Drosophila melanogaster: one gene and its partner. The main gene of each other region encodes a partner of the protein of the gene in region 2 in a complex. Each region holds a gene or a part of one and is shown on either strand. Other genes may lie near its edges. The genes, in order: Rbp and cac.

What was found.
Region 1: the proteins of cac (region 2) and Rbp are in contact, whole or in part, in a crystal structure (PDB 4Z8A), measured with the Drosophila melanogaster proteins. Residues at the interface, in NP_001245639.1 of Drosophila melanogaster: Ile1688, Gly1689, Arg1690, Arg1691, Leu1692, Pro1693, Pro1694, Thr1695, Pro1696, Lys1698, Pro1699, Ser1700, Thr1701, Leu1702; in NP_732029.4 of Drosophila melanogaster: Ile1353, Leu1355, Tyr1356, Tyr1358, Leu1363, Pro1365, Asn1366, Val1367, Asp1368, Val1372, Glu1373, Thr1378, Gly1379, Asp1391, Gly1392, Phe1393, Leu1404, Pro1406, Ser1407, Asn1408, Phe1409.

The regions. Positions count from the first base shown.
Region 1 is NT_033777.3:15,372,612-15,377,652, forward strand, and holds the start of Rbp (RIM-binding protein), read left to right. Parts: upstream 1-2,023; 5' UTR 2,024-2,250; coding exon 2,251-2,357; exon of another isoform or gene 2,358-3,066; intron 3,067-5,041. Other genes in the region: Ccm3 (cerebral cavernous malformation 3), read left to right, coding at 20-152, 238-402, 775-859.
Region 2 is NC_004354.4:11,981,953-11,987,162, forward strand, and holds the start of cac (cacophony), read right to left. Parts: upstream 3,136-5,210; 5' UTR 2,943-3,135; coding exon 2,725-2,942; intron 1,964-2,724; exon of another isoform or gene 1,884-1,963; intron 1-1,883. Other genes in the region: gd (gastrulation-defective), read right to left, coding at 3,831-4,344, 4,467-5,018, 5,098-5,210. UniProt on the Drosophila melanogaster protein: Voltage-sensitive calcium channels (VSCC) mediate the entry of calcium ions into excitable cells and are also involved in a variety of calcium-dependent processes, including muscle contraction, neurotransmitter release, gene expression, cell motility, cell division and cell death.

The DNA of each region.
Region 1 (5,041 bases), on a different chromosome or scaffold from region 2:
AAGTTTCCCCCTTCCACAGTCAATGAATACCGCTTGACGCGCACGGAGGAGCCCTTCCAGGAGCTCAATCGTAAGTCCGTGGCTCTCAAGGTGATCCTCAGCCGCATACCCGATGAGATAAACGACAGGAAGACCTTCCTGGAGACCATCAAGTAAGTAAAAACTCAAAATGAAGCTAAAACTCACTGCATAAGCTTAACTGATTAATGAATAATGAAATTTTACTGCGTTTTACAGGGAAATCGCCAGCGCCATAAAGAAACTACTCGATGTGGTCAACGAGATCGGCTCGTTTATACCTGGCGTAACGGGCAAGCAGGCTGTGGAGCAGCGTAAGAAGGAGTTCGTCAAATATTCCAAGAAGTTCAGCACAACGCTGAAGGAGTACTTCAAAGAAGGACAGTAAGTATTAAGAATCACCTGCAGTGATTATTTACTATATGTGTTATCAAACGATACGCTGCGACGCCATGACAGCCGGTTTCTTTAAATCGGCTCATATCTGGTTTCTTATCGTTTCGGGCCAACCGTTGAGATGATGTCATTCCATTGGCATTCCGGGTATTGTTTGGTTTATCATTTTGCGCCGGAGATTCTGAGGGGCGGATATTAAGCCGGACCCCCGCCCATTTTAAATTGTAAATTGCTTCGATTACGTACTAATGGCTATTACCGCTGACCTTTTCATGAAATTGGGGCCAAATTGCATTACTAATTCAAATTGCTTCAGCAAGGATTTTCTAACCGATTCTCTTTTATTTTATCTATTTTCAGACCGAATGCAGTATTCATAAGTGCACTTTTTCTAATACGGCAAACGAATCAAATAATGCTGACAGTTAAGAGTAAATGCGAGTAGAGAATTAAATCCTTTAATTATGGCAAATTAATTAATTAGTGGCATTTTAATTTTATGTTTAAATAACCATTTAACATACCAAGACCGAAACAAATCAAATAAACTCAACACACTTAAATACAAAATCGCCCGACGCAGTCCAAGTTAAATGTTTGAACGTAAATGAAAATCTGTTGTAACTAAATAAATAGGCCTAATTTATATCGTATATACATATGTATTACACATACTCGGACACAAAATTTTGCGAAGCCTAAGCATTGTAATTAACTAGTGAGCAACTATTTATGGAGACGGACGATGTGTGCGAGAGTTTATTTTTCGTTTACAATTTATTGTAAATAATTCATTCTTTTTCTGTTAACAAACAACATCGGCTAGTTTGTTTTTGTTTAGGAGAAGCGCCTACGAATAAATTTAAAATTAGTGGAAAAAAAACGAGAAACAGGAAATGTATGTACTACGGGGAGATGACAAACAAAAACATTAACGGAACACTTAAATTTTTAACTGTTTTTAATTGTTAGAGTTTGAAATTTAAACACTATACATAATAATCTTTTACTTAATGATATGTTCTATTTGAAAACTGCGAAAGCGAAAGACATTAGTGGCCGACAGCACTATCAACAGGATGGAGAAAAAATTATTTTAATTAATAAAATGTTATATGAAAATCGAACACTAAGCAAAAGTAAAAGAACGGCAACAAACTCATAATGTAGACATAGCGAAAAGAAAACGACAAATAAATGTATTTATATTCCAAAATTGAAAAGAGTGTTTCATATTTAACCAATTTACGTAAAATTACTTTATAATTTATAGTATTAGGTGTGGTATGATGTGGAAATAATTGTTTTATATTACCCGAGAATTGATTTCGAAAATCAGAGATTGGTAAACTGAAATCAAAATCTCAGATTTACACGCACATGTCGTTAACAGAGGACAGCGCTGTTAACGGATAACAGCCAAAAGTAATAGTAAACCCCCAATAACAGGCCCTGAGCAGAAATTTACCCAGTTGCAACCCCAAAGGAGTCCTTCTGAGAGCGGGAGAGAATTGCCCGTTTTTCAGTGTCATTTGGCAGAAAAATCGATTCCCCGCACACTGAATAGTGGGCACTGGGTACTGAGTGCTCGGCTCTGGGTTCTCTGGGCCACTCTGCTCTGGCACACTGAGCACCGAGCTGGCAGTTGGGTAGAAATCAGAGTGCGCCAGCAGCGCGACCGAGATGACCCACTTTTCGGTATTCGCACTGAGACCCAACTGCTACTACCCACAGAAAGTGGACAACTAGGCGGAGTTTTTTTCTATATAGTAGCAGTGAAACGATCGCGTTTTTCGGATATATTATGTACAGCCTACGTAGCCTAGTGTAAACTATATGCATTTATGTGAATTTCCCAGCGCAAACGTGGAAGAGGAAAACAGGCGACCTGAAAAAGCAGCAGCAGCAGCAAGCAAGAAGCAGAAGCACAAGCAGCAAAAAAGGTTCGCAACCCGTTCAAAAGCCCCCGAATACAAAATATTACAAAAAGTTAACCCAAAAAGAAAGGATAAAATCCTGTGCTTCCGAAAACGAAAACCGCAGTTTAAGCAAAAAGTGTCAAAATCGCGTGGTAAATACTTATTTTGCGCAAGCTGAAAAAAAGAGCTGTTATGCGAGCGAGCGAGCTCACGAAAAATTTCGCTGTACACCAAATGTTTGCCCAACAGCACCGCTGCTGCGTGAAAATTTCATTTTCTCGCCAATAACGTGAAAAAGCTCGCCGCGAGTGCAGTTAAAAAATCCAGTGAAAGATATAATGATTCCGGGAAAATGGTGGGACAGTGAAAAGTAAAAGTGTAAGCATATCGATAAAGGCAAAAAAAAAAAAAAAATACGAAAAAGAGCAGCCAGCGTAAAACTACACTCTCCCACACACACTCACATGCATACATATATCCAAACATATACATATACATACTCGCCCACATGCTGATGCATATACAATATGCAAATGCGGGTAATCACTGTAAAACCGAGGCAGGCGAAATGGTGAATGAAACCGAAATTATAGAAAAATGCCTAAATAAAATCGGAGAAATTGGCTAAAAGCAGAGTTCAGCTACATTTTGGCACAAAAAAGCGCGCACCCACACACACTCACGCATACACCCGCCACACACATACAGAGAAAGCGAAAAGAGCGAGAGGCATGTAAGTAAAGTAGATGTAAATGGCCAACGAAACTGGAGCAGCACCAATACCACTGCAAGTGCCACAACGGCAGGAGCAGCATGTGTGTGTGAGCGTTTCATATTCATAAGCTTCCAGCAGCACCAGCAGCAGCAGCAGCAGAAAAGTCCCACTTTTTGGGTTCGCACTCTGGGGGCGGTTTTCACTTCACACTTGTCCCACAGCCTGCGCAACAACAATGTTAAAGTTGTTTGCTGCTGCGTGCGTAACACACATACTACATACAGTGTACACCCACCACACACGTTCGTGTGTATGTACGTATGCATGTACATATGCATACATATATATGTACACTAAAGGTATCTACAGCGTGCATGCGGTTACCGTTACCTTCTCTGGAGCGGTGTTTTAATACCCGTAACAGCACTTTCCACCGATTGAATGCTTTCACGTATTTCGTATATATTTATAGCCCACTGTACTCAGTTTCCACTGCAATGATCGAAAGTCACGCGTCGATGGCCTGGTACACGTTGCGGATACTTAATACAACATTATCACAACCTAGACGGGCTTATTATGAAAAGAAAGTCTTCATAGCTTCCTTCTATAAATATGTAGTTTTTTCTGTAGATGAATTAAAACATAATTGGCCAAATTTAAATTAACATGTTGCATATGTATTTAATACATGAAGAACTCAAATGTGCAACTATTCAATTGAATTTTCCTTTAAGCCAACAGAAAGATCCCCCGTGTTGAAAAATATAAAGAACGGCTTGAAAAGAAAAGCCATTATGATTTTATTGGATTTTTCCGAGCAGGATTAATCGTTGAGTTTGGCCAATTTTGACAGATGGCAATCATTCAATAATTTATATGCTGGGCTGCCAGCCAAACTGCGACCATGAGATGTCCACAGGCGGGGATCCCCCTGCTTCTCTCCGAACCACTTCCCATTTCCCGGTTTGGCGGTTTGGTTTTCCACCCCATAACTGTGCTATGGTTTTTTTCTATAGTATTTCAGCGCCAGAAGCGACGAAATTCGTGGGTCTGTGTGTGTGCCTGTGTGTGAGCAGCTTGTTATAAATAGGCAAGATAGTTTTTGTGCTCGTGTTCTGGTTCGCTTTTTTCCTTGGCTCTGCGATTGAGGTCATGCCAGCAGCAGGATAATGAACTTTTCCCAACATCTTAAATGTAATTGTAATTGTAATTGCTCGACTTTAAAAAGTTTCTGCTCGCAGTGTTATTTTTAGGACTTGCCACTCGTCATATTCTCGAGCACATTGTCGACTATTTATGCATGTAATTGTTGGCAATGGCTGTTGGCCCCTGCCTTCGTCGGCTATAATTGCTGCAATTAGAAGCACTTGATTGTTATGGCCCAAGTGTGTGAGCATTCAATTAATTGAACGACAGCTCATTAGGGCATCGAAGAGCAGACAATGGTGCTTTAAAACTTTCACCGACCTTTGCTGGAGAATATGTAAATATTAGCTTGGTATGGCCAACTTTTTGCATTTTTCGTGAGTTTGCCAAGGCAACCGATTCCGGATGCTAATTAATTGCCTTTCTTTGCAAACTTGTCTGTCAACACACAAGGTGGAAATTGCCATTTTGCAGTTGCAACTTTTGTTCTCCCGCTTTTTTTTCTTGGTTTTCTGGGCACTTCATTTCAAAGTAAATCAAAGTTGCTGCGCGCCAAAAACCAAAAACGCAACAAAGTTTTTAAATTAGTTTGTCGAAGTTTGGGGCCAACAAAGTTGGCAGGAATATTTCGTTTCATTTCTTTGTGGCGTTTTTTTCCAACCACGAATAGTCAACGAATATTGTTTTAATTACGACTTTTTGTATATTTCACTAGACAGTCGCCTTGCAGTTGTAAATGATATTACGCATACGGCACGTTGTGCGGAAATAAAGATACTGTGCTGGCAGAGGTTACCTTCCCAATTCCCTGCTTTCTCCCTGTTAGATAACGTGCCTCAGTTCC
Region 2 (5,210 bases):
TTTGATTTACGGGGCTGATAACAAGAATTGGCATTTGCAAATTTCAACTCTCTCCATTCCATCCACACACACACACATATACACACGTACCGGCAGAAGCTCTCTCCCCCTCTCTCTCTCACTCTTTCTCTTTGGTTTCAACAATCACTGGGTCACACCGATAACGATAACATCGCAACCACAAATCGCTTGCCTACTTTTAAGGGCCCAGTAAATCTGGTTGCATTTGCATTTAAATTAACTATTGCCCTATTTTGAATAGTTCATTTTCAATTGCGCAAAGCAATGTCTTTTCTTTAAAAGCAATTCTTGTTATTTATTGCAATTGTATAGTTCCAGCTCTATTTTCCCTAGTGACGTCACCAGGCACAGTTGTCTGAAATTTTTTTTTTTTTTATGTTGACGATGTCTTTCGGAACGATTTTGGGTTTTTGGAATGGGCAGAAGCTATATATATCTGTGTGTCTAACTACAATCGGGCCACAGTGAGACCAACGAACCTGTAATTGCCAAAAATAAACAGCAACAATGACACACTTGCCATCGTTGCCCCCTCTAAACTAACGCTTTTTGTTATTTCTTTTTTTCTGGAAACTGTTACACTTTTAATTGGGCTTAAAGAACCAACTAACTGAAATTTGATATGTCGTTATAAGTTTAGTTACAGAGCACACGACTACCACAATATTTGTTCATATGCTCGCATTCAATTCCCCATACGAGTATTCATATGAGCATTGTTAAAAGAACAGAGACAAACAAATTTTTCACTTCCGTGAAGAGAGGAGAACCATCATTAGAATTCGTTTCCGGTATGGAAAACATATACATGTGTAGATTTGTATGTGTGTGTGTGGGTTGGGGAATTTACGACTAGTAAATATTTGTGTGGACTGAGAATATAGTTAATTTAAATATTAATTTGGGGGGTGCTTCCTGCTACATCGCCGCAATTCATTCACCTCGAAAGTGCGTGTACACGTCACAAAAATAAACGATATACCGATAGGCTAAAAAACACCCGAAAACTCCATATCTCCTTTTCCTTCTCCTTCAGCTTTAGCTTTGGCTTTAGCTTTTCCTTTCGCCTTTGCTTTTCCACTTGCCTCTTGCCACATCCACTTCCACTTCCATCCACCGCAATATATAGCACCACCGACGCAACATTCCGCCCGTTGTGCTACCGACCCGCTGACCCAATCCCAACAACTATGTATATATATATGGCTATACATATATATGTATATGTATATGTATATGTATATGGATATGTATATTCGTGCGGGTGTGTTGGTGTGTGTGTGGTGCGTTCGTGGGGCTTGTTAACTTTAACTTTTACAACTGGTTTTTAAGGATAGCTTCGGTAATTGGGATTTGAAACGAACGCATATATATATGTATATGAATGTGGCTAAAAATAAAAATTAGATCTGGTTGCCTGGAGGAGCACAATCAGAGGTCGTTTATTGGCTTCAGTAAGCCCGAATAATGCTTTTCACTTGGTTTCCCGATATCTTTTCTTGCTATTTTTGCTGTCCTCGCCGCCATTGTCGCCAATTCGACGTTTTGCCATTGGGTTTTTCACGATTTTTCACGATTTTCACGCTTTTCCGACTATATTTCTTGTTCTTGGTTTGGATGTTTGTAGTGTTATTTTCACCACTCGACCCGAATTCGGATGCCAGCGCACACAACATTCGAAATGTGGAATTTTCACAGCACTTTTAACCCCGCATTGCGAGTGATTTTCACTTGATTTCTTTAACGCCAGGCTTCTGTATTCAGCCACATTTTAGTTGTCGCACATTTGCTGTTAAATTGACTGGGTCCCGAGTTAAAAATAAAAAACAAAAACCGCTTCTACGGGAGCTGTCACCACCGACTTTGTCTCACCAGTTGGACGAAAAACTCAACAAAACGCAAGACTTCAACTCGGCGACTTTGTATCACATACTACCACATCGCCAGGGTCCAAACACACGCACAAAGGGCAAAAATATGGGGAAAAAAATCTACCAGCCCTGCGCTCTGCATCCGCCCGAAAGCTCTGGTCCAAGCTTCAGTTCAAGCTCAATCGGACAATCGGAGGTGGACACACTGGCCAGCCAGTGCGGAGGAGAGCGCATGCGTGTCCTCCAAGGAAACCCGCTCCTAGGACCGTTACAGTCGTCGATTGAGCTTTAAGCTCCGCTTGCTCTTCACCCCTTGGGAACAAAACTATCGAACTTTCGAGAAATCGCGGTTTTAAAATCCGGGCTTAAATCATACTGCTAAAGTTTAAAAAAAAAGCGAAGCGACGAAGTTTAAGCTACTTACCCATTCTAAGAGTTTTTTTTTTAATTGATTTAAGTAATTGATTTACTACTGCCACAATTGTTGATAAAGCTTTAAGCTTTAAGAATACTTTCAACCCCTTGTAGTAAAAACTTTTGCATCAAGATATCGGTTATTTGAAAACCCGGCTTTAACCGAATTACAAATGATCAAAGGCGCTCTCATACTTGACCTAATTAATTAATATATAAAACAAACAACATATTTTACTCTATTTCAGACTTAATTTTATCTCTGTACATTTCAATAACCCTCGTCAATTACCTTTGCATACTATCTTTAATAATAATGAATTTTTACCAATTTTCAATACTTTTCTAAATATCAATTGATCTTTTAAAATAATGTTAAGTTTAAATAATTTATATTTAAATTGGTAGTGGTACTCACATTAGGTCGCCTAGATTCGGTCGCGTCTGGACAAGAGCAAAACTTTCCGGAGCCCGGCGCCTTTTGTTAGACCCTTGCGAGCCGTAGTGCGTGCTCCGCCGGATGACGCCATCGCCGATGATGGCAATATTGTCATCCAGACCGTTGATGTTGCTAATGGTCAATCGCGCCATAGGAGATGAGCCCCTTCGGCGACGAGCTCCCACTCCGCCCAGCATTCTGGGAATCGATGAATCGAACTTTGCAATACGCGAAATGTACTCCAAATATTGCCATTTCTGTAATATATTCACTACCAACTATCGGGCACGTTCACAATACAATGCGTTGCACTTGTTTGGGGATCTTCAACGATTGCGAATGTCCGTAGACGACGGGCCCAGAGCCCCAGGTGTGATGCACCAGCTGCCACGGTCCGGACGGAACTGATAGTCGATGGCTACGACTGCTGTCGATGCCCCAACAACCCAGCAAGATAGATAACGGCCCAGATGGCGATGACGACGATTGCGGCTGATGACGTGCGATGACGTGCTTGATAGTAGTCAGCATTTGCGCAGTACAGTGTCTGCCGCTGGTAATTAGGGTGTCCAGGTGTCCATGGGTGAACGCCGCTCAGACGGGCCAGGCCGCCCACTCCGGCATATTAGCAGCTTCCTTTGTTCACGAGCGCCAACAACACACTGATAACAAAGGCATGGTAAACGTTACTGTATTACAATTAATTTCGATATCAAACATACCTGTGATTCTTTCAACATACACGTTTTCTATATGTGGTCAGAGGAATTTAAACATTGCAAATTTCGAGATTTTTAATGTTAATATTATGGTGGAGATCTAAAAGCGCAGCGATTCTATGGGAAAATTCCTTTTTGGCTTTCCCGTGCCATAATTTATTATTTGAATTGCCCTACTGTCTTAGATAAAAATAAAACTGAAATGCCATAATCAGAAGTTTTCGTAATGAAACTAGCAAAAAAAAAAAAAGAAAAAACCGATAACCGCTAATTACTCCGAGTAACTTTTGCCCATCGCCATGCCCAAGGGGCTATTATCACAGCGCTCACTTAGAAATGCGTTCCCATACACATTTCGGATGTGATTCAAATTACAAAGGCCGTGATCCAGTCCAGAAACTTGGCCACGTCGGCATATATAATGTACTGATTCTTACAGCAAAGCTTATGGCTAGATTCCGCATCCGGTGTCTCTACGGCGGGCAGGGCCGCTGATACTGTGCCACGCAGCATCCAGCGATTGTTCCGGCGGATGAAAAGTCCGGCCCCCGATATACCGGTGTAAATGCTCGCCCCGCTCTGATGCGTATCTCGTTCCTCCGCCTGGATGCCGGCGCAAAACGTTCGGTTTGAGGATAGGCTGCGAAAGTGGGCATTGGCTCGAAAGCATTCGGCATTGCCGACAATGGGAGCCTTTACTACCTTGGGTGCACTGGCATCGGTGGACTTCTTGCCCGGTAGCTCCGACGACAGCTTCTGATCCCGCGTCCTGTTCGTTCTGTCAAAGCTCCAGCCGATGACGATGCCCCGCTCGCCCACAATGTACTCCGTTTTGCTGGAACCAGACCACAGGCAAGCGGGTCGAATAAAGGTGTTAAATCTGCGTTGAAAATAATGGTATACTGTCAATATAATAAATGATCTTCATATTCGATTTCACATCGCGGTTTAGATATGAATCTAAATCTTGAATATGTAAGCTTTAGGCATATTGGCACCCACCGAACTTCGTCCTTGAGTATAATCACTGCGATATCCGCATCGTAGCTGCTCAGCTGACTGTTAAAGTCGGGATGAATGTAAATGCCATCGACGGGGGCCGCCAGAGATCCCTCCTCGTTCCAGTTCTTCAGATTGTGGCGGCCCAGAAAGACGAGCACCTCGTTGGATGTGTAGCGCTTGTTGAACAACTTGAAGCAGTGCGCCGAGCTGATTACAACGCGTGCCGAGACAAGCGAACCGCCGCACTGAAAGTCCAGGGAGGTCAGGTTGTTCACATAGATGGCCGCTAGCCAAGGCCACGATCCCCTGGTGATCGATGGCAGGCTATCGGCGCTATCGCTTTCTATCGCTTCTGCTTCTGATTCGTCCACAAACTGATGCTCCAGGACATCGTCTTCATCGTCATCGACAAAAACTGGCGATGTGATGCCATCGGAGCTCTTTGGTTCACCGATTGCGACATGAAGTGATTCCGTTCTTTGGGACAAGTGAAAGTCCAGATCCCTGTCGATGCGTCCGCAAATCTCCTTGGGCGCCTGGGCAAAGGGTTTTCTACAAAAGCGGACATTAAGTAACGAATGAATGTCACGATCGTGTGTGTGTTTTAACCGACCAAAATCCGGATGCATACTTCTTGAACTGGATGTGCGGCGTACTGGGCGGCTTGTCGTCGGTTTTTCTCACCTCCTCCTCCTCGGGATCTAGCAGCAGGGAGCTCTTCTTATCCGGTATAAAGGACAACTT